Linked DNA regions of Canis lupus familiaris. The protein of the gene in region 1 interacts with the protein of each later gene in a pairwise test. Links are inferred from orthologs where the notes say so. Each region holds a gene or a part of one and is shown in the gene's direction. Other genes may lie near its edges. The genes, in order: DMRTB1, RBFOX2, EXOSC5, NIF3L1, RBPMS, SLAIN1 and VASP.

Region 1 (2,854 bases):
CTCTCACCATTCTGTCTGATACAGACAAGGAAACCACTGGTAAGAGGGCCCCAGGCTTTCAGCTTCTGGGGAGCCAGGAGGACTTCCTGGAGGAAGGGGGCCTAATCACAAAGTAGAGGTGGAGAGCAGAATTTAAAATGCATTGGGTCTGGGGATGAGCTCTTCAGTTATATCCCTCTTTTTATTCCATATGCAAGCATCCAAGAGGGGCTCCCCAGTCTCAGGTGAGAAAACCAATGGAACCCTGAGAGGTTCTCACATATGTAAATGGAAGATGGCAGCGCTTGGATCTCCACAGAATTCTGTCTGGCTCCGGAGCTCATGCTAATTCCCAATCCCCCCCACCCCCACCCCTTATCAGGGCCTGTGGGCAGAGATGTGAAGGATGGCATTCCTGTGGTGTGTTCAGGAGACCAGCTGTGCCAGGCTGCTCTGGCTCAGCTGGGGCTATTCTAGAGAGGGAAGCAGCAGATGCTGAGGCTGGGGCAGCAGCTGGAACTGGGTGGGGGTTGCTAGGGATAAGTCCTCGTGGAGAGAAACCGGCCAGGAGCCAGGGACCCTGTCCTTCATTGCTCTGCCACTGGCGCACTGGGTGACCTCAGGCCCTCCCACTCACTCGAGGCCTGTCTCCTCATCTGTAAAATGGGTCCTGTTAACAGGGTTATTGTGGTAGTCAATATTAGAGGTAAAAGTGCTTTAGGTTTTCTTACGAGGGTTCTTGCAGCTTTAAAGGTTCTAGGATTTTTTTTTCCCCTTTCAGTCCTTCCCTGAGGCTCCCTAGGAAAAGGAAGTGAGGCCTTCTGTACACACGTGCTGTGTTTGAGATGCCTAGATAGGCAGAGATGGTGTGTGGCTTGAAGCATGCTGGCCCCAGAGCCAGACAGTAGCTTTGTGACCCGCGGCAAGGTCATTCAGTCCTTGGAGCCTCCCCCCTCCCTCACCTTCTGCAGAAGTGGGCTTAACGGCCCCACCTCAGGAGGTGATTCTGAGGACCCATCTGAACCTGCACCCCAGGACGGCATTTGTGTTCATTCTCCCTGTTTCCTGTCATCCCCTGCTGACCTGACGTTGGGAGGGCAGATCTCATTCCCCAGAAGCGTGCAGAAGTTCAGAGCCTCGGGGTAGCTTGCTCCTGGCCACCCAGCTGGCGACAGGCAGAGCCAGAGTGTGAGCTGGAGTCTGTGTTGGGCTGGGGCTAGGCTGCCAGGGTCCGGACACCTGGCCCATGGAGGGCAAAGGCATTCTCCGCAGAGGCTGGGAACCCTGAGAATGCCTGACCAAAAGTTTGCATCTGAAAGTAGGTAATTCCCCTGTTTGTAAATCCAGCCCCTCTTTGTCCTTCACAGATGGCCAGGATGCAGGGGTACCAGAGGAGCCCGGGGTGCCTGAGGCGGAGGCGGGGGCCCCTGAGGCGGAGGACCCTGAAGCGGAGGCGGGGGCCCCTGAGGTGGAGGCAGAGGCGCCTGAGGCAGAGGCGGAGGTGCTGCCGGGTGAGCCCAGCCAGCTGCCTTCCAAGGAGCAGTCCAACTAGGCCCTGGCATGCTTGGGCCAGCGGGGTGGGGGTTGCGGGTGTTGCAGCAATGATGTTCTTAACGGGTTTGGGGATGTGTAGGGAGGAAGGGTAGTAGTAGACATAAAATGGCAGTTTAATTTCCATTTCAAGACAGGAGGGAGGAAGGTGATTTCTAAGGTTCTCTCTATCCAGAGACGTGGGATTGACCAGGAACATGGAGGATGGTTAGCAGGGGAGGGCCAGGGCTTTGAGGATTGGGGGGCTGGTGGAAGCTCACATTTAGGAATGAATTTAACTGAGTCTGGGTTGTGCTGCTGTTAGACTCACTCCCAGAAGTGGTCTTTGATTTCCTCGGGCCCGCTCCAGGACAGGAGGCACCATCTATTTCAGCCTTCTGCTTCCGCCTCTGCTTGGTCCCAGCTGGGGGCAGCACAAACACTGAGCCCCAAGCACATCCAGGTGGTTTGTGTGGGCAGCTGGGACCAGGTGCTGACAGCAGGTTCTACAGCGTCCTTCCCTGCTGCTCTATCTCTTGTGAGGGCTGCCTGGCCACTGCCTCTCGCCCCTTCTCCAAGGGGCTGCACCAAGCATTCTGACTGCTGGGGCTGCCTCCTCTCCTCTCCATAAAGTTTAAGCCACTATAGGCATCTTTTCTGGTTAAAAAAAATCTATTAAAGTTTGACTATTTGATATTTTTATAGTGATTGCCAACTTTAAAAAGTAGGCTGTTTGTAAGCACTGATGCAGTTCTCAGAAGAGAATGGTGCTTCTAAATCATCTATGTATCCATTTCTTCTCTGGGGACAGTTGACTGTTGAAATAAAATAAGCAGTGGAAATCATCGTGCAAGTTTCATTTTCTTTAAGTCTTGTGGAAGGTGGTTTTGGGGAGAGCGTCTGGGCCTGGCAAGTCCCTTCCTGGCTTACCTCCCCTTTCCCTGTTGCCAAGGGAGAGGGTTGGGCCAGGCTACTAGATTTCTGTCTGTCGTTGATATTCCCACCATTTTTCTTAAGCAGTGGAGACCTTTTGAGGACATTGCAGACACACAAGATGTAAAGATTTCTTTTAGTTTCCCTCACTCAGCTGTGGGGGTGGTCAGAAGTTGGGATCTCAACTCTATCTTAAAGGTGAAAGTAGGCATTCCTGGGGGGTGGGTGCAGAAAGAGTAAGGGACCTGGAGTGAAGGATTCTGGGTGAGACACTGTGTCCTGTCCTCTGTCCAGGGGCAGACTGGCACTCAAACAGGCCAGTCTGCATGCCACCTGGCTTGTAGGCAGGGGTGTCCCAGAATCCCCAGGACAAGCGGCAAGATGATCGCTGAGAAATGCTCTCTGTTCTCCC
Region 2 (3,500 bases), on another chromosome or scaffold:
CTCTCTCTCTATCTCTCTATGTCTATCATAAATAAATAAATCTTAAAAAAAAAAAATAATAAAAAAAAAAAATAAAAGTTTGAATCTACTGCTTAGATAAGTATTGTATTTGCTGGTAATGTCCTAAAATCAAGTGTAAGAATCTTAGTATATTCCATGATGTCTCCAATAGATAGATTTAGCCCAGCTTCTCAAACAGATGGTACAAATCAGCATAATTTGCATTTATCAGCATAATTTACATTTTGCCTACCCATTTATCAATGGTCTATCTTGTGATACCACTGCCTCCCCCTTTACCTCTTGTTTTTTTTTTTTCAATGCCCATAACAAAAACAAGTTTCTGCAATTTTGATAATAACTCATGTAAACAAAATAGGAAGGAGAGGCAAAGTTACATTTCCTTTAGATCCAGGGAGAATGCTGTGGTAGAAAGAGTCACTGACTAGAATTGAGAAGACAGAAATTCTACTTCTAGATTTGACTCATTTTACTCTGTCAGTGGACCAATCTTTTTAACCTGATTCTGTTTTCATCTCTCTTAATTGGTGATCACAGAATTTTAGCACCTGAAGCCTCTATAGAAGTCATCAAAATCCAGCCCTCTCTTAGCTTATTATTTAGGAAATTAAGCCCAAAGAAGTATAGTACTTATTCATTGTCCCAGATGTGGTACCTATCTTACCTCTCCCCTTGGGTTTTGTGAAGGTCAAAATACATTGTAAATTTGTACAAAACCAAACATACAAAAAAAAAACTAAACGTACTCAAAGTATTATTGACAGCATACCATTACATACCATTATTAAAATATGTAATATACTTAAGGGAATGCTTAAGTAATGGTGCCATTTGCAGGAAGAAAAAAGTCATTTTTTAAAATATTATTCTAAATTAATACTCAAGCCTAACCAAGCCAAACTTGAGAGACCAACAGCTGCTTGTGGTTTAAAGCTTCTGAAAAGAGTGCGCTAGATGCCTTCTAGTGAAGTCTCAGCGATTTAGTTTACATTGGTTGGAATCACTTGATTTGTCTGACATTGTAGAACATTTGTGTTCTTACAACTCCAGTAACATTTGAACTGAGGTATTTGCCCAATTTTTATGTAAAATCATGTGTTCACCATCTATGAGCACATAAAATAATGAACGGGGGTTAGATTGGTTCAGGATGAATGAGTTTTCTCTTGAATACTGTCTCCAGTCTTTAAGAAAAATAATGGAGTATGTTTGCTTATTTGTGTAAAATTCAATAAAAGTCTATTGATTAAAGTTTTCATATGAAATTCTACTCCTTGGGGATCCCTGAGTGGCTCAGCGGTTTAGCGCCTGCCTTTGGGTCAGGGCATGATCCTCGAGTGCTGGGATCAAGTCCCGCGTCAGGCTCCCTCCATGGAGCCTGCTTCTCCTTCTGCCTGTGTCTCTGCCTTTCTCTATGTGTCTTTCATGAATAAATAAATAAAATCTTTAAAAAAAAAAAAGAAATTCTACTCCTTAACTATCAATGGGCAGTAGTACATTTTTCTCTTTTTAACGTCTGCTATATTTCTATAAATATGAAAAAGGGGGATGAAGAAATAAAGTTGACACCAAACCTAATGTTTGCAAGTACTTAAAGTTTATAAATGCTTAGGTTGGTACTCAACAGCAGTCTAGTATCCTTTAGCTAAAACAACTAATTAAGTATGTTTATTACCACTTAAAATCCCAAAAAATGCATGAAATTGGGGATGTACCTTGAATTTTATTACTGAGTGTCTCTTCTTGTTCACTTGGCTGAGGATAACTGCACCGAAATTCCATTGGTAAATCCCAAAGAAAGGGGATTTTCACTTACCTAGATTTCCATCAGTATGGTATAATTGAACAGAGTCAAAGATCAGCTCAAATTTAAATTCAGAATATACCTTTATAAAGCAGTGAGAGTAGTAAACAGTGTGAAGATGATGAATAAGAAAGTGCATCACAGTGTGGTGTACAATGACATATATTCTGCCTTTCTCATTTTTCTAAAAACAAAGAATTTTTTTTTCAAAGAATATGTTCTAAGCAGTTCTATGAAAGAGACGAAACCAGAGCCCAGGATTTACTTTTATTTCTTACATTTCTTTGTCCTTCTCTTTCCTCCCACCCAGTTTTTCTCCTCCCCATTTGCCCCTATACCTGCAACACCCACCCCCCCTTATTATCCCTTCACTGTGCTTGTTCTGCTTAAAGATGCTCAGGTGTGGAAGTGACCCATCAGCTGGCGTCTACAGAGAAGATAGTGTTGGGTGGAGCTTAAATGCAGGGATGTCTGGAGCCAGCTTTCACATGCCCTCATCACACCTTTTCCTCATGGAGTCTTAAATGCTCTCTGTCCTCTCTTCCATTGCAGGTTGGAAATTAAGCCCCGTAGTTGGAGCTGTATATGGCCCTGAGTTATATGCAGGTAGTATTTCATTAATTTTTCCATTTGGCCTATTGACCATGACAACATCTGTTGGTTTTCGATCTACTATTCCTTTGTAATCTTTTTGCATTTTTTTTAATTTTTTTAAATGCAATCAGCATCCAGCTTTCAAGCAGACGTGTCCCTAGGCAATGATGCAGCAGTGCCCCTATCAGGAAGAGGGGGTATTAACACTTACATTCCTTTAATCAGTAAGTAGCCTATGTTGGCCTGGCATGGATTTTGACTGTTGTGAGTAAACAGTGATGTGTCCTAGTCTTTTTCTTCTTCCCCAAGTATAATATATAACTGAGGAGGAGGCCTTCTCAAGAGAGTTAAATGCTGTCACAGTGTCCCATCCTGCTTAACCTGTGTAAGAATCTTTCTGACCAGATACTGAGATTGCCACGAAGCATAAATAGTTGGAAAAGGTCAAGGGGATTGAGGACATGTGTAGAACATTTTAGTCTGCACTTGATTTTAAAACCAAAGAAATAGATACTTGTGGAATATAATATGCATGTTCTCTGCAGGTCAGCTTTGGGCTTTTTAGTAGAGTATCATTTAGAAGCACCTCCAGCATTAATGATTATTCTCCCTCTGTTGATACCTCTGAAGTCATTCTGACCTGAGCCATTTTGCTCTAGCAAGGTATAATTAAAAAGAGTTCAGTGAACATGGAATAAATGTCTCTGTGTGCTTTCCAGAGGATAGCACATTTAAAATAGACCTTTAGAAACTTTCTGCCTCTCTGAAGGCCACAGGATTACAAGGGAGAAGTCGTTTTCCTCTCCCCTAACATTTCTGGATTAAAACATTTTAGATAAAAGAATAAAATGGACTAATGAAATATCTAAAGATTATTGTATGCCTTGGAGGTTAGCACCACATACAAACACAAAAGACTGCTCTTATGAAGAATAATTATTAAGTGCACATAACAACATGTGAAAATAAGATTAATAATTGGCCAGTTAAAGAATTAATATCAACAATTTAAACTGCCTGCAGAAATTAAAAGTCTTGTCTCTTACTACGGCAGTAGTCCTCAGAGCTTCTTGACCTCTTT
Region 3 (3,500 bases), on another chromosome or scaffold:
TCCAGACCTGTCGGTGGACAGTCCGGACCTATGTCATCTGTGATGCTGTCAAGAGCTGTTTGGTGGAGTGGTGGGGTCAGGGAGGAGAAGAAGACAGCAAGTCAGACTTGTCTTTGAGAGCTTTGCTGGAAGAGGATCAGATAAATGGGGCAGGAGTTGAAGATGGATGTGGATCCAAAGAATATAGAATTCCTTGAATTGCTCCCGAAAATTGCTGGGGCCATGTCCCTGAGAAGATGAGAGGGAGGATCTCCTAGGTTCATGGGGGCCACAGGCAGCTCATCCAGAAAAGAATGAAGAGCAACGTGTGGATCTCGTCCTGTGTGGTTAAGTTCCCCTCTGAGGGCAGATTCTCCTGGAGCCAAGAGAATCCCTCAGCTCTGGTGCAGCTCCTTCTCCCCAACCCAGGAAACATGCCCTGACCCTGGGGACCTTCCCAGGCCCTCCTGGAGACTTTGCTCTTCTGCTAAAATCATATGCCTGGAGTTTCTTAGACTTCAGAAACACTGAGGAGGGTTAACGCCTTCCACGTTCTAAAACTCCCAAACTCTGGGACCCCTGGCAGACCCTGGAAAGTACGTCCCACCCGCCTTTGGCCTCCAAATCTCTGATGGGGTTGTTAAAAAGGCAGGGTCCCAGAATCCACCGCACACCTGCTAAGGCTGGCCCCTCTCCATCTGTAACCGCTGCAGAGATTCTGTTTGCAGTGTTTCGAAGCTGTGCTCAAGCGCTGTTTTTCCCACTGCAGACTGTGGGCCCAGCTGCACGTCAGAATGACCCGTGGGAGCTCTTATGCTCCCAGTGCCCATGCCCCACCCGGCAGCTGAATTAGGATCTCTGGGGGAGGGGGCTGGACGTCTTTTCAAGTGCCCCGGTGATTCTGAGCGTGCAGCCAGGGTTCAGGACCACTGCTGCGGTTGGCAGTACTTTTTAACTGGAATAGAGTAGGGGCGCTTGACGGACTCTGTCCAAGGAGCGTCCGACTCTCGATCCCAGGGCTGTGAGTTTGAGCCCCATGTAAAAATAAAATCAAAAAAGTAAATAAGTTGGGACGCCTGGGTGGCTCAGCAGTTGAGCATCTGCTTTCAGCTCAGGGTGTGACCCTGGAGTCCTGGGATCGAGTCCCACATCGGGCTCCCTGCATGGAGCCTGCTTCTCCCTCTGCCTGTGTCTCTGCTCCCCCCTCCCCCCGCCCCTGTGTGTCTCATGAATAAATAAATAAAATCTTTAATAAATAATAAATAAATAAAAAGTAAATAAAATTAAATGAACTAGAGTAGAGTAGAAAGCATTAGAGTGTCAGAGCAGTGATGGTAAGAGGCGTTTTATGAGGCCTTTGTTGCGTGTCCACACATGGAGATTTGCATGAACTTGGGGTGGTGCCAGAAAATACATTTTTTAATTGAGAGTTATGGCAAGAAAAGCTTCAACAGCCACTGGTGTAGTTCAGTCTCTTCATTTTGCAGATGGTAAAACTGAGGCCAAGAGAAGTGAGTACAATCAGCCAAGGTTACAGAGCTAGCAAGAAGCAGGCAGGACCAGAAGTCAGGGGTTTTGGGGGCTTTCTTTGTTTGGTTTTGGATTTTTTGAAGATTTATTTGACAGCAAGAGAGAGCGTGCATGCTTGCACAAGCAGGGGGAGTAGGAGAAGGAGAAGATCAGCCCACTTGGGGCTCGATCCCAGGATCATGACCTGAGCCAAAGGCAGATGCTCAACCGACTGAGCCACCAGGCACTCCCTGAAGCCAGGCTTTTGCTTCTCAGGTCTTACCTCCGCGGACCCCATTCGTGCCCACTCAGGACCACTCCTGGGTATTTCTCACTCTCGGGGGTCCCGATGACTGCAGAGTTTGGGGACGTGAGCCCGAGGGAAGAGAGCTAGGTTGGAGGAAGCTTTGTGAGGAGTTGAGACCAACTGCAGTAAGGAGGAGGAAGGTTAGCCCTCGGGAAGAACTTCCCGTTGAAGTTAAGAATAGCTAAAGTCAGTGGTGCGCTGGGCCATAGCTGCAGTGTTTGACGTGGATGACCTCGTTTAATCCTCACGACGCTACAAGGTTAGGTGCTGCCATCATCCCCATGTCCCAGATGAAGAAGCGTAGGCAGAGACGTGAGTGAAGCCAGTGCTCAAAGAACCACTACCAGCAAAAGGTGGGCCAGACCCGGGGCTGGCGCAGGGAAGGCCAGCCGCCAGCTCACTGCCCTGGTGCCCCCACCCTGACCCCTGCAGCCCCAGGAAGGCAAGGTGTGCATGAGACCTGCCCTGCTCTCTCCCCAGGGGACACGTCAGTCCTGGCGGGCGTGTACGGGCCAGCCGAGGTGAAAGTCAGCAAAGAGATCTTCAACAAGGCCACCCTGGAGGTGATCCTGAGGCCGAAGATCGGGCTGCCTGGTAATGGGCGGCAGGAGCTCCACCTTCTTCCCCTCCGCCGTCCCCACCCTCAGCTCTTTGCGCCTTTCCCCGGCTCTTGGCCTCCTGTCTGTCCCCCACCTCCTAGTCTGTCCTCCCTACTCCTCTTTCCTGGCTCCATCTCCCCTTCTTTCCACTAACCTGTTTTTCCACCCGTTTACTCTCCCCCTTACGCTGAGGCTGGGTTCAGCAGCCAGCTGAGAAGTGGGCAGCGGCAGGGGACAGAGGAACTCAGGGTTTTCCTCCCCCAAGAGGCTCCCTTGCTGGATGCTGGAGGGGGCAGGGGTGGGGCGGGGTGGGTCCGGTCAGGCCCTGCCTCCTTCCCACTGGGGGTCCTCTGTCATCCGTGCAGGGTCCTGCACCAGCCCTGGTGGAGATGGCAGGCCCTCTCCAGAGGGCTTGGGTGGGGCGTGTGGAGGAAGGTGAGCCAGATGGAAGGAAGGGAAGAGGCTGACAACCCCACCCCGCCCTGCCCCACCCCTGATTTTCCCCAGGCGTCGCGGAGAAGAGCCGGGAGCGACTGATCAGGAACACGTGTGAAGCAGTGGTATTGGGAACGCTGCACCCCCGCACCTCCATCACTGTGGTGCTGCAGGTCGTCAGTGATGCTGGCTCTGTATCCTTCTCCCCCCAGGCCGCCTCCTCCAGGAAGTCCTCCAGAATCTCCGTGGTGGCCTCCCTTGCTCTGTTAGCCAGGAGGCCTCCGAACACTTGACAGGCACCCTCTTATTGAAGAATAGCAAACCCACTTGAGTGCTCACCACGCGTCGGGCACTGGTCTGAGTGCCTTATACATGTTAACTCACTTCATCCTCACGGCACGACAGTTCGGTGCCACTATAATCCCCCATGGCCCAAATGGGGAAACTAAGGCACAGGAAGGTCAGCTTCTGTCTAATAATGCAGAGCGAGGATTTGAGCCCAAGCCATGTGCTCCCAGAGCCCGAGGCCCCGGGCAGATGGGAGTTCCTATGTTCCCATGTTTGAGGTGAGGAAACAGGCCCCGAGAGGGGAAGTCCCTTACCCAGGGTCACACAGCTGGAAGGCGGCAGGGGCAGAACTCAAGCCCAGGCCTGACTGCCTACAAAACCTG
Region 4 (4,068 bases), on another chromosome or scaffold:
TTTATTTATATTTTTTTCCACTGAAGAATTTAAAAGTAATTTTGCTTCGGGTTTTGTTTAGCCATCATACCAGTTTTATTTTCCTTGACTGAATTTCTAAAAATTATCTATAATGAAAGACAACAAGAATTGAATCAAACTTACCATTTTTCTTCTTGATGTGAGTTTCAGGAAGTACTATTGTTCAATTTCTCAGTCTCACCAAGAGAAGTTAGAAAACGTGTCTCTATTCCCAAAAGAGAAAATTAAGTTCGTTTTCCTCTCTTAACTCACACATGCTCATTTCTACCCCATATTTAAAAGAAAAAGTCTGGAACAGCACCCCCCAAGTAATAAAAGTCTAGTGATGGAAATGATGAGAACCTATCGATCTCCTACTTCCCCTGTTCACTTCTTCTTCACTCCCTGCAAGTCCTCCAAGTCGCGTACATTTCCGCCTTGGGGTCCAGGCGCTGGGTGCTCTCTTTGTCTGGAGCCCTTACACCCAGACGTCTGGCCGCTTATTTTCCTCGAGTCCAAGTCTCTGCTCAGAAGTCAGTTCCTATTGGCCTTATAACTCTCCTTAAAACTGCCTTCAGGGAGCCCTGGGTGGCGCAGAGGTTTGGCGCCTGCCTTTGGCCCAGGGCGCGATCCTGGAGACCCGGGATCGAATCCCACGTCGGGCTCCCTGCATGGAGCCTGCTTCTCCCTCTGCCTGTGTCTCTGCTTCTCTCTCTGTGTGTGACTATCATAAAAAAAAAAAAAAAAAAAAAATTGCCTTCACTTTAGTACCTGCCCGATTATCTTTTCCCATAGCACTGACCAATAATACGCTATATATTTTTCTAAAGAAGTCTGTTCCAATACTACCCTCCCGTCCAGAATGCTCACTGGATGGAACAGCCCAAGCACCAGAACAGAGCCTAGCAAGGGTCTCTCTCAGTAAGTGAATGAGAGAATGGGGGATGTGACGGACCACTTCCGTTAGCACACCTGTTGTGGCAACCGAGACGATGCCCTTGCATTTACCCACGTTTCGAAATTAGGGTCTTCGGGCTACCGCAGGCCGAGCGCGGGGCCCGTTAGAACGCTCCTCACCTGCTCGCCTTTTACCTCCCGCTCCCTATTTCAAACCAAAGTGACTAGAACTTACGAAGGCAATGGAATTTACCCTCACCTGGTACGCTTTTGACAGGGAGAGGGGGCTCGCTTCATAACCCTACAAGCACGCGAAACGCAAAGCGGAACTAAGGCGGGCAACACCGGCGAGCGGCTTGAGGTCACTTCCGCCCGGCTCCTCCTCAGCCCGTCCGGCCACGCCTGGAGGCCCTGCGCAGGACCGGAAGTGGCGAGTGCGGGCCTCGCGTGGCGCCCCGCCGTCATTGCGCGCTGTGGAGGTTGTGAGGGCGTTTCTGGGAAAGGAGGCAGAGGGGGGAGACGCGGGCCGGAAAGTGGCGTGTGGCTGGGGAGCCTAGGGCCCCCGGCGGGGAGGGCAGGAGTGCTGACTGGGAGCTTCCGGCGCGTCTGGCGTCTGCCTTGCCCTGGAAGCGGCCTGAAGTGGGACGGAAGTGAGAGCCGGCGCAGTGCAACAGGGTGCCGCTGGCTGGCTGTAGGGCGGGGGCGTGCCACGCTAGGCCTCGTTCCCCGCCGTCCCGCGAAACCTCGCGAGCACAACGTAAGCGGGGCCCTCTTCTCATTCTTGAGAGGGCGAAGCGACAGGGGTCGGGTACCTGGTTACACAGCCGCGGCCCTGCGAGTCGGGCTGGCTGCCGAGTGGGCGCCCCCCCACCCGCCGGCAAAGCCGCCCCCCGTTGTTCATGGCGTCAAGCCACGCCGCTTCGCTGCTTCCTGATCCGTGAAGTGGGAGGGTGGTGGTATTTTCAAGGGTTCTTTCAAATTTAGCCGTTGGCCCCCGCGGCCTCAGTTGCCCGCCCGCCAGCCTGGGTGAGTGCAGAGCGCAGCGTCGGTGCTTGGAATCCGGAGAGGAGAGTGGTATGAGGACCTGAGCTCTCACGCGACCCCAGGCCCCAGTGGGTTTCGGAGGCCCCACGTCCCTTCAGAGCAGACACTGAATAAGTGCGCACACCTCATAGTAAACATTTTTTTTGCTGAAAACATACTTTTTTTTTTCAACGAATTTGAGCATATTTATTGAAAAAGTTTTTTGAAATTAGGTTATTAATATTTGATTAGATTTTCGGTTGGCTGTGCTATACCTTGTCAGTTATTATGCATATTTTTTTTAATTTTTATTTATTTATGATAGTCACAGAGAGAGAGAGGAGGCAGAGACACAGGCAGAGGGAGAAGCAGGCTCCATGCACCGGGAGCCCGATGTGGGATTCGATCCCGGGTCTCCAGGATCGCGCCCTGGGCCAAAGGCAGGTGCCAAACCGCTGCGCCACCCAGGGATCCCAGTTATTATGCATATTATGAATGCTTTTCTTCAAAAATATAAATATTCCTGGATTTTTAATTTTCTCTTTATTTGTAGGACAGTGGGTGAATTCCTTTTTTTTTTCTTTTTTTTTTTTTTAAGATTTTTATTTATTTATTCATGAGAGATAGGCAGAGAGAGAAGCAGGCTCCATGCGGGAGCCGGTCGTGGGACTTGATCCTGGGTCTCCAGTATCACACCCTGGACCGAAGGCAGGCGCCAAACCGCTGAGCCACCCGGGCGTCCCTGTACCTGGATTCTTTTTTTTTTTTTTAAGACTTTATGAGAGACACAGAGAGAGAGGCAGAGACGCAGGCAGAGGGAGAAGCAGGCTCCATGCGGGGGCCCCGACGTGGGACTTGATCCCGGGTCTCCAGGATCACGCCCTGAGCCAAAGGCAGATGCTCAACCGCTGAGCCACCCAGGCATCCCCTGTACATGGATTCTTAACTGGAGTTGACTCTTAGTTTAGTATAGGGCCTAGACACTGGAAATGTTTGTCAAGAAAAGCTTTATTTAGGACTTGGAAGGAAGGGTAATATTTAGAGAACTGGAGAAGGCAGGAGGATGATTAAAGCAAAGATGAGAAGAAAAGAACCAAGGTGTGTGTGGGGTGGAGAAAGTGGGGATGAACATTTGTGTATTATGTACCAAGCTCATGTTAGGTGACTTACACGTATTAATTCATTTGCTCCTGTGGTTAGCCTCTGATGTAGGCTGTAGCGTCTCCCGTTTTGTAAATGAAAACATAACCTCAGAGAGGGTAAATGACTGAGATACCACGTGCTGGTAGGTGGCCGACTCTGCATTTGAACCCAGGGGTATGTGACTACAGCTCTTTTGCTCCTGTGCTTTGCTCCCTCAAGGGTCCAGGCCTAAAGTATGTATCTGTACCATTTTCTGTGTTTTGGCTTCAGATACTCAGTGTTACCTGATTTCTGTATGTTGTCGTCTCGTGTACGCCTCATTCCCAGAACAGTCCGGCTTGTTCATTCCCTCATCTACAATTCTTGCCATTCCTCCATGGATTTAAAGGCGCTCCTTTGCTCCTTGAATGACTTTGCATCCCTCTCCCTTGCTGAGAGTTGGGACAATGTTGGCTTACTGGTGGAACCAAGCCCACCACACACTGTAAACACACTCTTCCTTACCAACGACTTGACTGAGGAAGTGATGGAGGAGGCGCTGCAAAAAAAGGCGGACCTCATTCTCTCCTACCATCCACCTATTTTTCGACCCTTAAAACACATAACCTGGAAAACCTGGAAGGAGCGCCTGGTGATCCGGGCTCTGGAAAACAGAGTTGGTATTTACTCTCCTCACACCGCCTATGATGCTGCACCCCAAGGAGTCAACAGCTGGTTGGCAAAAGGGCTTGGTGAGAAGCCTTTTATTTTTTCATGTTTAATATTTTCCCTACAAATGCTTTGAAATTTTAAAGTGTCTTGAATAGAATGTTAACTGCTTTATATGTGTGTACCATTATTTTATTTTTACCTATTTAAAAATAATGTGAAATCTGGCAGTTGTATTTGATAAGTTTTTATCCTTAATGAATAAGGAAAGCATAGGAAATCGTCATTGCTGTGAGTCCTCACTCATGGAACAACGTGCCTAGCACCCAGAAATTTGAGAAGTGCTTGTTAAATTGA
Region 5 (3,959 bases), on another chromosome or scaffold:
CTACCATGAATCTGCCTAGTGTCCTTGTGGTGGCTCCCTATGCTGAGACACTTCCACTTATTCAGTCCCTCCTGCAGGGGCTTTGTAAAGATGTGATGTCATTCAAGGCTGAAAATCAATCTCTGATAAGACTGTGTTCATTTATTCAAAAATATTCACCGAGAGCCTACTATGTGTTAGGCACTGTCTAGATATTGGGGACACAACGATCAAATCAGACAAAGATCTTCTTCTAGCCCTTATTTTTTTTTTTTTATGCCAGATGTCTTTGACTTTTAACAATGGACAAAGTGCTGGCAAAAGAATCAGGTTCTACATTTGGAATTAGGCCACATTTCCCTGGACGGAGGTAGCAGCAGCATCCTGGAATCATACAGCACCTTCCACCGACTTGTAAGTGGAGTCTGACTGGAATCATCAATGACTAGATCAACTGTCACTTTTCTTGGGCCTTTGCCAGGCTCCAGCAAGACAATATCTTTCTGTGGAGTGTATTCAGTACCTGGCAATGGCCCAGGAGGGCAAAGGGCCTGTGTTTATTGGTGGCGCAGGGGCCCAAGACCACCACGCAGCCATTGCTCAGGAACACATTGCCCCCTCGTGGTTCTTTACGTAATTGAGGGAGGGACTGGGATTGGAAAGGCTCTCCAAATTTCCAGATTAATCGTGGTGGCCTTTGCCTCTTCTGAACTTCCATTGCAAGTTCAACAGTTTCTTGGTTTATTTTCATCCAGGATACGCTTTCCCCCCACCCCCCCCACAGAGGCACATGACATCCTGACAGCAATTAAACCTATTTATCAAAAGCTTCAGACTTCCCCCACCCCCAACCCAAGAAAACCCCAGTAAGTGAATGCAAGAATTACCACTCTGTTTTTCTTCACAACGCTCGTCACACAAGTATTTTCTCTGCTTTCTGCTATTTGAACCAGGATCGCTGATCATGTGGCCATGGAGTTGTTTTGGGTGTCTCGTCTCCACAACACCAGTTAAAACTCCCTAGAAGCAGGAGCCTTATCTTCACCCCCACCTCCACCCCACCCCCAGCAGCACTTAAACCAGTACAGGGTGAAGAATGTCTGGCGGGGAGGGGGGAGAGCAGAGAAAGATAAACAGTGAAGCGAGCAAATAAATAGAAGTTGTGATTGGTACTGTGCTGGAAAGGAACAGCATGTCGTGTGAGAGAATTCCTGGGCGTGGGAAGTGAGGGAGAATCTTCTGATAGAGGCCCTTTTAAATTTATGTGTTTATGATACAGGAATGGAGAAGCTCTCTATGGCCCCGGGAAAATGGAAATTTCCTTAATAATAATGCTAGTTTCCCTGTTCTGTAAACTTACACCGGGCAGGAATGAGTGCTGGGTGCTCTAGCTCTACCAACCTATAATCTCCTCTAATTACAACCCCCCTGGGAGGTAACTATAACTACTCCCATTTCGCAGGTGAGGAAACGGAACCCAGGCAGTCCTCTGGCGCGTGGTGCTTAAACAGGTACTGGGTGCCCCCCTCCCAGAATGCTGAGCCCTTTTTCTTCCTTAAGGGGCTTTGACCCTCCGAAGATCATCTGGGTTGGCCTCCAGCTCGGCTCGCCGTGAGCAACAGTCACTTAGCCAACAAGTATTTATTGAGTGCCTACTGTATACCCGGTAGCGTATTTAACTAGCCGTGGGATTATCAAGGTAAACAAGGACACGGTGAGGCTGGCGTTGCGTTGTGGGGAGGCTCCCCCGGAAGGGTGAGGGAGGCAGGCAGGTAAGCAATTCCAGGACGGTCTGCTGAGGGCCGAGAGAGGGGCCTGAGCAGAGGGGGGCGCGAAGCCTAGCAGAGGGCGAAGGCCGGGGCTGAGAGCCTGGGAGGGCCCGGCGTGGGAGGTGGGTTTGAAGCTGCGCCCTGGAAACGCCGGCCCCGAGCCGGCTGCCCCCGGACCTCGCTCGTTCTCTCGCATCCTGTCATTTCGAGCTGCCAAGTAGGAAGGGAGGAAATAGGTCTGAGCCGGTGCTGCAGAGGCAGGGCAGGCTGAGCGACGGGGGCGCGATCCCCACGGCGGTAGCCCACGGCGCGTCCCGGGCGTCGCGCGGGCCCGGCCCGGCGCCCCGAAGCCCCTCTCCAAGCGGGCGCGCACCGCCGCGCGAGCTCGCCAGCTCCGGGGGCCCCCGGGGGCCGGGGAAGCGGGAGGACCTGGCCTCCCTCCCTCGTCCGCCTCGGCCCCTGCCCTCCGACCTCCCGCCGAGTCGGGGGGCTGGGGTCGGCCGCTTCCGCCCGCCGCCCCCCGCCCCTCCCCGGCGCGCGCCATCCGGCCGCGGGCGGCCCCTCCTCCCGAGGGGGGCTTCTGCGTCCCGCGTCCCGTCCCTCCGGGCTGAAGCTGGCAGCCCACGTCTAGGGAGGGCGGAGGGAGGAGGAGGAGGAGGGGGAGGGGGAGGAGAGAGGGGAGGGAGGAGGGCGAGAGAAAGGGAGCTGCTTGGATCCCGTACTTCTCAGAGCCTGCCTGGAGCGCGCACTCAGCGGCTCTCCGGGTCCCAGCGTCCCAGCCGCGCCCCGCACCTCCTCCTCCTCCTCCTCCTCCTCCTCCTCCTCTTCCTCGGGTCTGGGCACCCCTCGCCCCCTCCCTCCGGCCCCCGCCAGGCTCGGGCAGCGGCCGCCCCCAGCCCCGACGCGGCCACATCCCCAACTCTCTGGGCTCCCTCCTGGGACGCGCGCCCGCGCCCCATCCTTTCTTCCTTCCTTCCTTCCTTCCCTCGCGCCCGCCCGCCCGCCCGCGCTCTCCAGGTCTCCCTCCCGGTCCCGATTGTCTCCGTCCCCGCCGGCCCGCGCCTCGCCCTGCCCCGTGTCTCCCGCGCACTTCCTGGGTCGCCTCGCCTCGCCTCGCCGCGGAGCCCGAGCCGCCGCTGCCCCGGCTCCAGCCCCCGCAGCCCGCGGCGCCCGCCCGAGGGAGCCCCGGCGCCCGGGGAAGGGACAAGCGGGCGAGCGCGCCCTCGCCCCAGCCCCGCGCCCCAGCCCTGCCCGGCGAGGAAGGACCGGGAAGATGAACAACGGCGGCAAAGCCGAGAAGGAGAACACCCCGAGCGAGGCCAACCTTCAGGAGGAAGAGGTACCGGGGGGCTCGCTGCGGCGGGGGCACGACCTGGGCGCCGCAGTCCGGGGTCTGGGCACGGCCCTCGCCGCGACCTGTGGCCCCGGGCCGGGGGGGGGGCGGCGGGGGGGGTCTCTTCGCAGAGCGCGTTTCTAAAGTTGCGTAACTTTGAGGACTTTTCGGAGTTTGCTAAGTATAATGCTCAGCTTTGTCTGCGTGGGATTTTAAAAGCGGAATCGAGAGCTGACTCCCGGGTGACCTCCGGTTCCTGGGACCCAGAGGGTCGGGACCGAGTCTGCGACCGGGGCTGGGAGTGGGGGGTGTTTGTGCGTGCGGCGTGAGGAAGGAAGGAACTCGGGGAAAGTTCTCGGCGGGGAGACACCTTCAGTTCCCTGCCCCCTCCCCCTCCCTTTTCAGTGTTAAAAGTTCTCGGTGCGATCTCTTTCCAGCTGAGGCATTCTGGATTAATAGATAACTCATCAGCTGCATTCTTCTCTGATGAGTCAAAGACCTCGAATCTGGGTGATTAGGGTTTGTAAATTTTAGGGGCGATGCGGCTGGGGTGGGGTGGGGGAAGCCGAATAAAAGAGTTTGAGAGTTTACAACTCGCCAAGAGATCATCTTGGCTGTTTTAATAGCACTTTGACTCCTGAGCGTGAATTTTATGTGGTGCGTCCGTAACAAAGTTAAAAACGTTGCGGCGGCGGAGCGTTCCTTGGGGTAGAAACCCCATTTATCCGTGGGAGGGAACACCTGAACGGACGGTTTCAGAATTTTGTAGTTAGGATATTTGTGGTATTCTTTCAAGTGGCTTTGTTCCTGCAGGTATGTTACCTGGAGTCCAAGAAACAGTACATGTTTCGCCTGCTTTTTAAGTTCTCCCATAGCTG
Region 6 (4,105 bases), on another chromosome or scaffold:
TCACAGAGATTGGTATGTAAAGTGCCCGAGCAGGAATTCTCACCAGATAGCATATCATCTGAGGATGAGAACCAGTTGTGCGGACTTTTCTCATAATAAAATCGCAGACTTCTCTCCGAGTGTGTCAAACACTCACAGTTCAAAGTCAATATTAATGGAATGAAACTGGATTCAATTCTTCTACCTAAAAGCCTCCCCCTGCCCCCCAGAGCAGATTTGCCAGTAGTTTCCAAAAGATGTAAGAAGCGCAGCTTGCAGGTGAGGTCAGGGATACTGGGATAGAGGTTTTGTTTTCCTCGGTTCCCTTCCACCCCCGTAAGTCAGTCTGACCTAATAGCTTGTAAATTATTAAAGAGATGGAGCACTATGCAATTTTACTCATGTTTCGCCTGTAATGATTTTTGCTTGTCCTGTTCACTGCGTGATGGTCAACTCTTAGAATCGGGTCTGGAGCAGTGAAGTGCTCCAAGGCCTTTTGTGTGATACGCGGTACGGAAAATGCTCTTGCTTTATCACGACCGGCACTGGTGGTAAAGGAATCATTTGAGTTCCTCCGCTTTAGGGTACACTGAGCACCACTGGGCTCTTCAGCAGCTGGCCTGTCTTAGAGGGACGTCTTCTTTCTCCCCGGCCTCCTGTCCCCCACCATTTTGCTTCTGTATTGCCAATTAGTGGATTAGTAGCACTGCCTCAAAGTCTTTCTGCTCCACGTTTTCACTTTTCAGCCCCGGGGTAACGTCCTCGGCCCTCGGGTTCTCCGCGGGCTTCGTGAGCCCGGGGCCAGTGGCTACGGCGGTTGGGCCGCAGCACGGCGCGGGCGCGGGGTGCGCGCCTCCAGGGCAGGCGCCTGCAGCGGGCTTCGGGGAACCCGGGCTCGCGGACCGCGCCGCGGGCGCTCGGCACAGCTGCGGCAGCGCCTCGGGCGGGAAAGCGCGGGCCGGGCCCCGCCAGGGCACCTGGGGGCAGGGCGGCAGGGGGCTCGCCTCCTCGCGCCGCAGGTCCCCGCCGGCCCCGCCCACCCGGCGTTCGCGCCCCGCCCCGCCCCGCCCCGCCCCGGGGCCGCGGCTAAAACCCGGAGCCGCCGCGCCGCCCGGGGGACCGGAGGGCGCTCTGAGCATGTGCAGAGCCGTTCGGCGGCGGCTGCCTCGGCCGGAGGCTGGGCCCCGGTGCTGATGCGAGCAGCCGGCTCGGCTCCTGCCCCAGCGTGGTCGGCGCCTCGGGCCGGGGCGGCAGGGAAGGAGCCGTAGCCTCCCCGCGGCCCGAGGAGCGGCGCGGCGGCGCGTCCCCCCCCCCCCCGCCCCCCACCGCCCGCGGCCGCGGCGCCCCCGGGGCCCACGATGATGGCGGAGCAGGTGAAATGCGCCTCGACAGGGGGCGGCTCCGGAGCGGGCTCCGGGCCGGTGGTGAACGCAGAGCTGGAGGTGAAGAAGCTGCAGGAGCTGGTGCGCAAGCTGGAGAAGCAGAACGAGCAGCTGCGGAGCCGGGCGGCGAGCGCGGCCGCCGCCCCGCACCTGCTGCTGCTGCCGCCGCCGCCGCCGCCCGCCGCGCCGCCCCCCGCCGGGGCCTGCAGCCCGTTGGGTCCCCGGAGCCCCCCGGCCGCCGCCGCCGCCGCCTCGGGGGGCCTGGGGCTCGGGCTGGCGCTGGGCGCCGGGGGCGGCTGCGGCGGCGGCGGCGGCTCCAGCCCCGCGTTCCCGGGCACCTTCTGCCTGCCCAGCCCGGCACCCTCCCTGCTCTGCAGCCTGGCACAGCCCCCCGAGGCGCCCTTCGTCTACTTCAAGCCGGCGGCGGGCTTCTTCGGCGCGGGCGGCGGCGGGCCGGAGCCGGGGGGCGCGGGGACGCCGCCGGGGGGAGCCCCCGCGCCGCCCTCGCCGCCCCCGACGCTGCTGGACGAGGTGGAGCCGCTGGACCTGGAGAGCGTGGCCGCCTGGCGGGACGAGGACGACTGCACCTGGTATTGCCGAGCTCCGCTCCCTCCCCCGGGGGCCCGGCCTCGGAGGCCCGGGGAGCGGGGTGGGCGTGGGCCGGGGCAGCGGGGGGGGGGGGGGGGCTCGCGGTCGCCCCCGGACGCGGTGGCCTGGCAGGTGCCCAGGTCCGCGAGGAGCCGGGGCCTTTCCCGAGGGCGAAACGTGTTTCTCGCAGCTCAGGCTGGCGCCGCCGGGGATGGGCCGGTCCCCTCCGTCTCCGCGGGCCCGCGCCCTGCTGCAGCGGCCCCCGGCGCCGTGGAGCAGTCACCGAAGAACCCGTGCCTTCTTTTTGTTACTCGGTCCAGCTTCCCGCCCGCCCCATCATCTGGGGGGAGGCACGGGGGATGGGGAGGGGTTGGCCTCCGTCTGCGAGGCCAACCTGGTCTTTCCTCCCCGGCGGACCTGGGCAGGGTCTGTGCGGCGGGGGGGTGCCCTCCCGTGGCTTCCCCCGCCGCTTCCCCAGCCGCCGCCTCGGAGATTCGTTCTTGCGGTTTGAGCTGTGCGGTCGCACGTCCTCGTCCGCTGCATTTTCCTTGATCGCCTCTCATTTCAAAGCCTGACTAGCTGTTTTGAGATGTGCTGCCCTCACTGGCTTTCCTGTCACTAATGGTGTCAAAGATGGGGGCAGCTTGAAGACACTTTACTTCGAAACCAAGGATCTTTCTTTAATTCTTTTTTTTTTAAATCGAACTGTTGATTGAAGAAAAGGGAGATTAGAGAAACTTTATTATAATTATAATCATTATTTTTTTAGAAACTAAGTTATCTAAAAACCTGTGGCTGGCAGCAGCATTTCACTGGAAATCTGGTTAGCTCTTCTCTCCATCAATGAGTGACTTTGAAGGGGAGGGTCCGGTTACCTTAGTGTTTTTACGCTACGTTCTCATGGAGTGAGTTCCTTTCGTGACCTACTTCTTTTGGTTGCTTCATTTGCTTTCCTCCATCTCCTAGGGGTAGTGGGACAGGGGAAGATGAGTAGAAGCCTCAGAAAGTGGAACTTTGATTCCCGCAGGGAAAATGCACAGCATTCACCTTTAAGTAGCTGTGGCAGGAAGAAGAGTTGGAGCCCTTCTTTTATCTCGGGTTCTTCCTGCTCCTGGAGGCTGGATTTCCCTCACTTTCTCTGTGGTCCTGTTGCATGATCTCACACGGAGGAATGGGAAATGGAGACTCTTACTGGTTTTCTGTTGAGACCTGTGGTGTTCCTATATACTTAGAGCTCCTGACTGCAAAGTACATTAATTGGTTTGAACTGCAGAATCCAAACGTATCTGGAGCATCTCCTCCTCCTCAGTACTCTCCCTGTTGGCAGGCAGCTGTGCTGGTAGCTCAAGTTGTAAAAACCAAAACAACTCCCCACTTTTGGGAGCTTTATAAGCCGTACTTTAGATATTACACCTTTGTTTTTCTGTGAAGCCCAGGCTGTATTGTAAACTCAGTTTCAGCCTGAACATGGCACTAGAAAATGCTCTCATGTTGGTCGTTCTTAGGTTATAATAACTCTAAGCCCATATGTTGCTTTCAAATTACGTTACATTGATTTAGTTCCCACTTGGCCTTTTCTGGAAATATGTACTTAAATGGTAGAAGGAAACTTGTTTGTGTTTTTGATGGGCATCAATCCTGTACGTTAAAAGTGTTAGCATTTTTAAACGTATTATGATATGCTTATAATTTTGGAAGTGTATTCAAATGGGGTAGTATATACATAGCTAATATAATAGTATTTTCTTCCATTGAATGGACTTCTCCCTATTGTCCAACTACTGCTAGAATTTTGATATGTAGGCTTTTTTTTTTGTAGTTTGTTTTTTGTCAAAATAGTATTGAAATAACTTTGGGGAAAAAAAATGACCTGCTCTGTGGGATTACTTTGTTAGCACTTCAGATGGTTTGAAGTGAATGTAAAGTATAGCAGGTTCTACTAATTTCACTCATCAGCTATTTAGGGGAGTACATAAATCAATGCCTTGACGCTTTATAGATGTTTCTACAGACAAGTGGCACATTGTTTTATGGCCTATCTTTTTCATTTGTTTGTTTGTTTGTTTTAATTTTTTAAATTTATTTATGATAGTCACAGAGAGAGAGAGAGAGAGAGAGAGAGGCAGAGACATAGGCAGAGGGAGAAGCAGGCTCCA
Region 7 (4,003 bases), on another chromosome or scaffold:
TGGCGCTCTGCGGGAGGGGAGTGGCCACCAGTGGAGTCACATGGGGCGGGGCCTGCGGGACCCGCTGCGGAAGCTTGGGAGGGTGTTTGGGCCTCAGACCCAAGCTACTGCGTGGGGGAGGGGGTTCCTAGGAGCCAGCACCAGGTGGGTGGGTGCCCCTGCCTCCGCGCCCTCCTATTGCTGGATGATCCCGCCATCCTCTGCGGGCGAAACTGAGTCACGGCGGGGGTGCGTGGGGAGAGGTTCCAGGGGTTTTAACCACACAGGAACCTGGAGTCCCATCCGCACCCAGGGGCAGCGCCGCACCCTCACCCCTGCCCCCGCCCCCACCCCCACCCCCACCCCCAGGCAGTGAGTCAGCGGCCGGCCGCGCCCCCTCGGCCCACTTCCTCCTCACCTTCCTGGGGCGGGCGGGGGGCGGCGAGAGGGATGGGGCCCTCCCCGCCCACCCCCCCCTGTGCTGGGGAAAGGGGTTCATCCCTTAGTCACCTTTCATATATTAGCAGAGAAGAGAGACGCTGGGGGTAGCATTTAAGGTATCATTTAAGGGGGAAAATTTGAGAGAATCTATGCTTAACCAGAGGATCGTCTTCGCGCCCACCCCCCAAATTGAGCAGAACGTGAAGAAATGGAGAAGTCGTTGGGGAGGGTGAGCAGGAATTGTCCCCATTAAGATCCTCCTAAGAATTTCCATCGTAGGAGCGAATGAGCGATCAGGAAGGATCCCTTGCCCTCCACCAGACCTACCCCCTAATTTGGGGGTGACCCTCAGCGTGCATCCCCATTTCTCTAACGTTGGGGAAGAGGTAAATAGCGGAAGTGTAGGGTTCCGCGTTGCCCTTTTAAGCGCCCTTCACCCCCCCCACCGCCTAGAGGTGTCCGCGGCCCCTTTAAGGCGCAGGGCATTGTGGGTGCGGGGAGTGGAATTTTGGAACGAAATGTAGCGAAGAGAAGTACAGTAGTAAGAGTAACATTGTACCCGCCGCCGGCCGAGGGGGCGCGCCGGGGACGGGACGCCGCACCCCCTTTCTGCCGCAGGGACCCCCGATCAAACCTCCAGAGGGAGGAGGCGCCTGAGGACCCGCCCCGGCCCCGTCCACGTTCCCCCCCAGGAAGCCGGACTCTATGGGGCGGGACCCTGGGGGAGACTGAGCAGAACCTGGAGCCAGCCCCGAACCCCTGAACCTTGAGCCAGGGGCGCCCCGGGAGCACCCACCCGTGGGTGCGCCGCCCTCCCGCTGAGCAGCCATGAGGTGAGCCTCGAACTGCCTCCAAACCCTTCCGCGCTCCGCGCGGGCTCCCCGCCCCGCCTTTGTCCCCCTCCCCCAGCTGGAATTTGGGGACAGGGCACTGGGGGCCTCGGATTTGAGGCCGAGCCCCCTTGGACGAGTTCCAAATACTGACCGCTTCGCCATGACTCCTAAGGCTCGGGTGGTGCCTCAGAGGTTCTCTCGGAAGCCCTCAGATTTGGGGGCGCCCCGAGGACTCCCGAATTTCTTAAAGACTTTTTCAGAGAACCTCCAAGTTGCCAGATCCTGCCAGCATGGAGGCCAGAATTAAGGCAGGGCTCAGACTACCCCCCCAAAAATCTCAACTCGGGCTCCGGGAGGGATTGAGGGGACCGGGTTGGGGGTTCCTGGGACCTGGAAGAGAGATTCGGGACGTAGACCTTGGTTTGCCGGGTCTGCTTTTACGTGGCGCTGGAAAAAGCCTTCCCAAGTGGGACCTCGCTTCTTAACTTCGGGGGCACTTAACCCCTTAAATTTCGGGGGGCTCTCGTCCTCCGGTGGAGGTGAGTGCAGACGAACCCACGGACCCGGACAGCCTCGAGGGTCTGGTTGGGACTCCCCTCCCCCGCCGCTCCCCACCCACCTTCTGTTTAAAACAAGCGGTGCCTAGGACGGAGCTCCAGGGCTCGGCGCGGAGGGCGGCTCCCCGGCCCGGGGCCAGGAGGGCGGCCCCGCGCCCCCACCTGTGCGTCCTGGGGAGGGAGGGGGCGCGGCAGCTGCGGGAAGAGGGGCCTTTGTCTTCCTGACTCACCTGTCGAGACAGCTGGTGTTGGGGGGGCGGGCAAGGAGTGCAGTGGGCCGGCTGCTTTCCCCACCACGCGCCGCCCCTTGCTCTCACCACCGCCCCCCTACCCGGCCCTCCAGAGCCGTGGGGTGGGGGGGGGGGCGCTGTAAAAAGCTTCAAGGTCATAGCCCTCTCCCCCTGGGACCCAGGCTCCCAAGACAGTCCCAGACACCTTCCCAGGAATTTAATCCTGGGGTTGGGGGGCCCAGAGGACCCAGGGATTTTTGTCTTACCGGGTCGGACCTCAGAACTCCTGGGCTCACCTGAGGGCGGGGCCGGGGCGGGCTGGGAGACCGGAGTAGACCCTCCCCCACTCTCCCCTCCCCCTGGCCCCCCATAATCTCTCCCTTGGGGCCCGAGCCTGACAATACTATCTCCCTTCCTCCACTCTCTCAGGGACTTCCTGCCCCCAAAGCCCCCAGCTTGAGGGGGAGGCCCCCCGAGGAGGACTGGGGATTAACCCCCTGGTGCCCACATCCTCCCACTACCCCCACACGCCCCTGCCCTCTGACATCAAGAGTCGCATTGCCCTTTAGGACCATTAGAGACCCCCTCCGCCTGTGTTCCTTCTGATGTGAAAGTGTTGGAGCATTTTGGAGTGAGGGGGCACCCACGGACACCCACCCTCGAGGTCTCCCGCCTACCTACCCCCCATTATAGCCACATCCCTCCGAGGCCTGCCCCGGAGAGGGGGCATTTTGGGGGGAGCCAGGCTCTCTTCCCTCACCCTCTTCCCAGGGGACCCTCCTCTCCCACGGCTGCCCCCCCGCCCCGCCCCCCGCCCCCCCTCGCGTTTCCGGTCCCAGGCACCGTGGAAGGCGGATGGCGGATGTCCGAGTTAGTGCTGCCTCACTCACTGTGAGACCGTAAAAGGGCAGGAGCAGTGTCTGGGCCGGCCTCCCGCCCCCCCTCCCCCAGGCCCGGAGGCCTTCGCCCTCCCACAGGGTCCCCCTACTGTTGGCCGCGGCCAAAGCTCCCACCTCCTGGGGGGTGGGGGGGCGGTGGGCAGGGGTTGAACTGCTGGGCCTCCCACCGGAGGGTCACTCGCACCTCCCCAGGGGGTCTTCCCTGCTGATGGCCACGCCCAACTCGCTGCGCCCCCTCTTCCAGGACCTCTAGGATTCCAAAAGACCCCTGCCCCTGCATGAGGGCAGCCAGGGAAACTGAGGCTCGCCCTAGATCCCTCAGGCAGTGTTGAGGGAGGGGAGGGGACTGGGATCCTGCGACTTGACTTCTGTCTGCTTTGGCTGGGCGAAGAGAGGATGTTAAAATGGAAAGTTACAAGATATAGTTCTTTTTCTCCCAGTTTGACAAATATTTGTTAAGTGTCTGCTGTGTGCGAGACTCAGCTGGGATTCTGGGAAGGCTCAGAGAGGGGGCAGAGGTCTGAGAATCTCAGGGCAGAGGGCTGCAAGCGGTATTTAGGTCCATTTCTTTCCTCTTCCAGGAATGGTAATTATTATTACCTTACAAAGTTGTTGTTTTTTAAATAATAATAAGAGACCATCTGATCAAACATGTGCTCTGTGCCAGGCACTGTATTATTCTGACTGCCCCACCTCCATGGGTCAACTGAGACACAGAAAAATTAAGCAAATAACCTATTCAAGTCAGTTTGGAAGTAGGCAGCTCTAGATTTGAATTTAGGGCAGTCTCCAGACTACGATGCTATTACAGAAAAAGGAAAATAAAACGTTTTAATGGTATTAAAAAAAAAAAAAACAAGTAACATGTTTGCACTATGTGAACACTTAAGATAATGCAGATAAGCAAGAAGAATCTTTTACCTTTCTGTTCATTTATGGGAAACTGAGGCTTATAGGGAAGGAGCAGCTAGAGTGAACCCACACAAACCCAAAGCCCATAGATCTGGTTCTTTGTACAAGGTTGCTTCAAAGACTTGCAGTTTTGGAAGGGTTATAGTTGGTGT

Evidence for each region.
Region 2: the proteins of DMRTB1 (region 1) and RBFOX2 interact in a two-hybrid assay, tested with the Homo sapiens proteins (3 studies listed by BioGRID). The link is inferred for Canis lupus familiaris from reciprocal best matches to the Homo sapiens genes DMRTB1 and RBFOX2.
Region 3: the proteins of DMRTB1 (region 1) and EXOSC5 interact in a two-hybrid assay, tested with the Homo sapiens proteins (2 studies listed by BioGRID). The link is inferred for Canis lupus familiaris from reciprocal best matches to the Homo sapiens genes DMRTB1 and EXOSC5.
Region 4: the proteins of DMRTB1 (region 1) and NIF3L1 interact in a two-hybrid assay, tested with the Homo sapiens proteins (2 studies listed by BioGRID and IntAct). The two-hybrid records come from large-scale screens. The link is inferred for Canis lupus familiaris from reciprocal best matches to the Homo sapiens genes DMRTB1 and NIF3L1.
Region 5: the proteins of DMRTB1 (region 1) and RBPMS interact in a two-hybrid assay, tested with the Homo sapiens proteins (2 studies listed by BioGRID). The link is inferred for Canis lupus familiaris from reciprocal best matches to the Homo sapiens genes DMRTB1 and RBPMS.
Region 6: the proteins of DMRTB1 (region 1) and SLAIN1 interact in a two-hybrid assay, tested with the Homo sapiens proteins (2 studies listed by BioGRID). The link is inferred for Canis lupus familiaris from reciprocal best matches to the Homo sapiens genes DMRTB1 and SLAIN1.
Region 7: the proteins of DMRTB1 (region 1) and VASP interact in a two-hybrid assay, tested with the Homo sapiens proteins (2 studies listed by BioGRID and IntAct). The two-hybrid records come from large-scale screens. The link is inferred for Canis lupus familiaris from reciprocal best matches to the Homo sapiens genes DMRTB1 and VASP.

What each region holds. Positions count from the first base shown.
Region 1 is NC_049226.1:55,949,047-55,951,900, reverse strand, and holds the end of DMRTB1 (doublesex- and mab-3-related transcription factor B1), read left to right. Parts: coding exon 1-39; intron 40-1,346; coding exon 1,347-1,531; 3' UTR 1,532-2,354; downstream 2,355-2,854.
Region 2 is NC_049231.1:29,472,120-29,475,619, forward strand, and holds part of RBFOX2 (RNA binding protein fox-1 homolog 2), read left to right. Parts: intron 1-2,377; coding exon 2,378-2,431; intron 2,432-2,550; coding exon 2,551-2,643; intron 2,644-3,500. UniProt on the Homo sapiens protein: RNA-binding protein that regulates alternative splicing events by binding to 5'-UGCAUGU-3' elements. Prevents binding of U2AF2 to the 3'-splice site.
Region 3 is NC_049222.1:113,387,512-113,391,011, forward strand, and holds part of EXOSC5 (exosome complex component RRP46), read left to right. Parts: intron 1-2,275; coding exon 2,276-2,389; intron 2,390-2,901; coding exon 2,902-3,023; intron 3,024-3,500. UniProt on the Homo sapiens protein: Non-catalytic component of the RNA exosome complex which has 3'->5' exoribonuclease activity and participates in a multitude of cellular RNA processing and degradation events.
Region 4 is NC_049258.1:9,940,186-9,944,253, forward strand, and holds the start of NIF3L1 (NIF3-like protein 1), read left to right. Parts: upstream 1-1,268; 5' UTR 1,269-1,376; intron 1,377-1,382; exon of another isoform or gene 1,383-1,654; intron 1,655-1,673; exon of another isoform or gene 1,674-1,923; intron 1,924-2,036; exon of another isoform or gene 2,037-2,055; intron 2,056-2,746; exon of another isoform or gene 2,747-3,237; intron 3,238-3,333; 5' UTR 3,334-3,358; coding exon 3,359-3,794; intron 3,795-4,068. Other genes in the region: PPIL3 (peptidyl-prolyl cis-trans isomerase-like 3), read right to left, coding at 145-147. UniProt on the Homo sapiens protein: May function as a transcriptional corepressor through its interaction with COPS2, negatively regulating the expression of genes involved in neuronal differentiation.
Region 5 is NC_049237.1:34,777,312-34,781,270, reverse strand, and holds the start of RBPMS (RNA-binding protein with multiple splicing), read left to right. Parts: upstream 1-1,159; 5' UTR 1,160-1,441; intron 1,442-1,539; 5' UTR 1,540-1,678; intron 1,679-2,765; 5' UTR 2,766-3,021; coding exon 3,022-3,087; intron 3,088-3,552; exon of another isoform or gene 3,553-3,567; coding exon of another isoform or gene 3,568-3,591; intron 3,592-3,959.
Region 6 is NC_049243.1:31,288,749-31,292,853, forward strand, and holds the start of SLAIN1 (SLAIN motif-containing protein 1), read left to right. Parts: upstream 1-1,305; 5' UTR 1,306-1,337; coding exon 1,338-1,951; intron 1,952-4,105. UniProt on the Homo sapiens protein: Microtubule plus-end tracking protein that might be involved in the regulation of cytoplasmic microtubule dynamics, microtubule organization and microtubule elongation.
Region 7 is NC_049222.1:110,771,947-110,775,949, reverse strand, and holds the start of VASP (vasodilator-stimulated phosphoprotein), read left to right. Parts: upstream 1-1,203; 5' UTR 1,204-1,248; coding exon 1,249-1,253; intron 1,254-4,003. UniProt on the Homo sapiens protein: Ena/VASP proteins are actin-associated proteins involved in a range of processes dependent on cytoskeleton remodeling and cell polarity such as axon guidance, lamellipodial and filopodial dynamics, platelet activation and cell migration.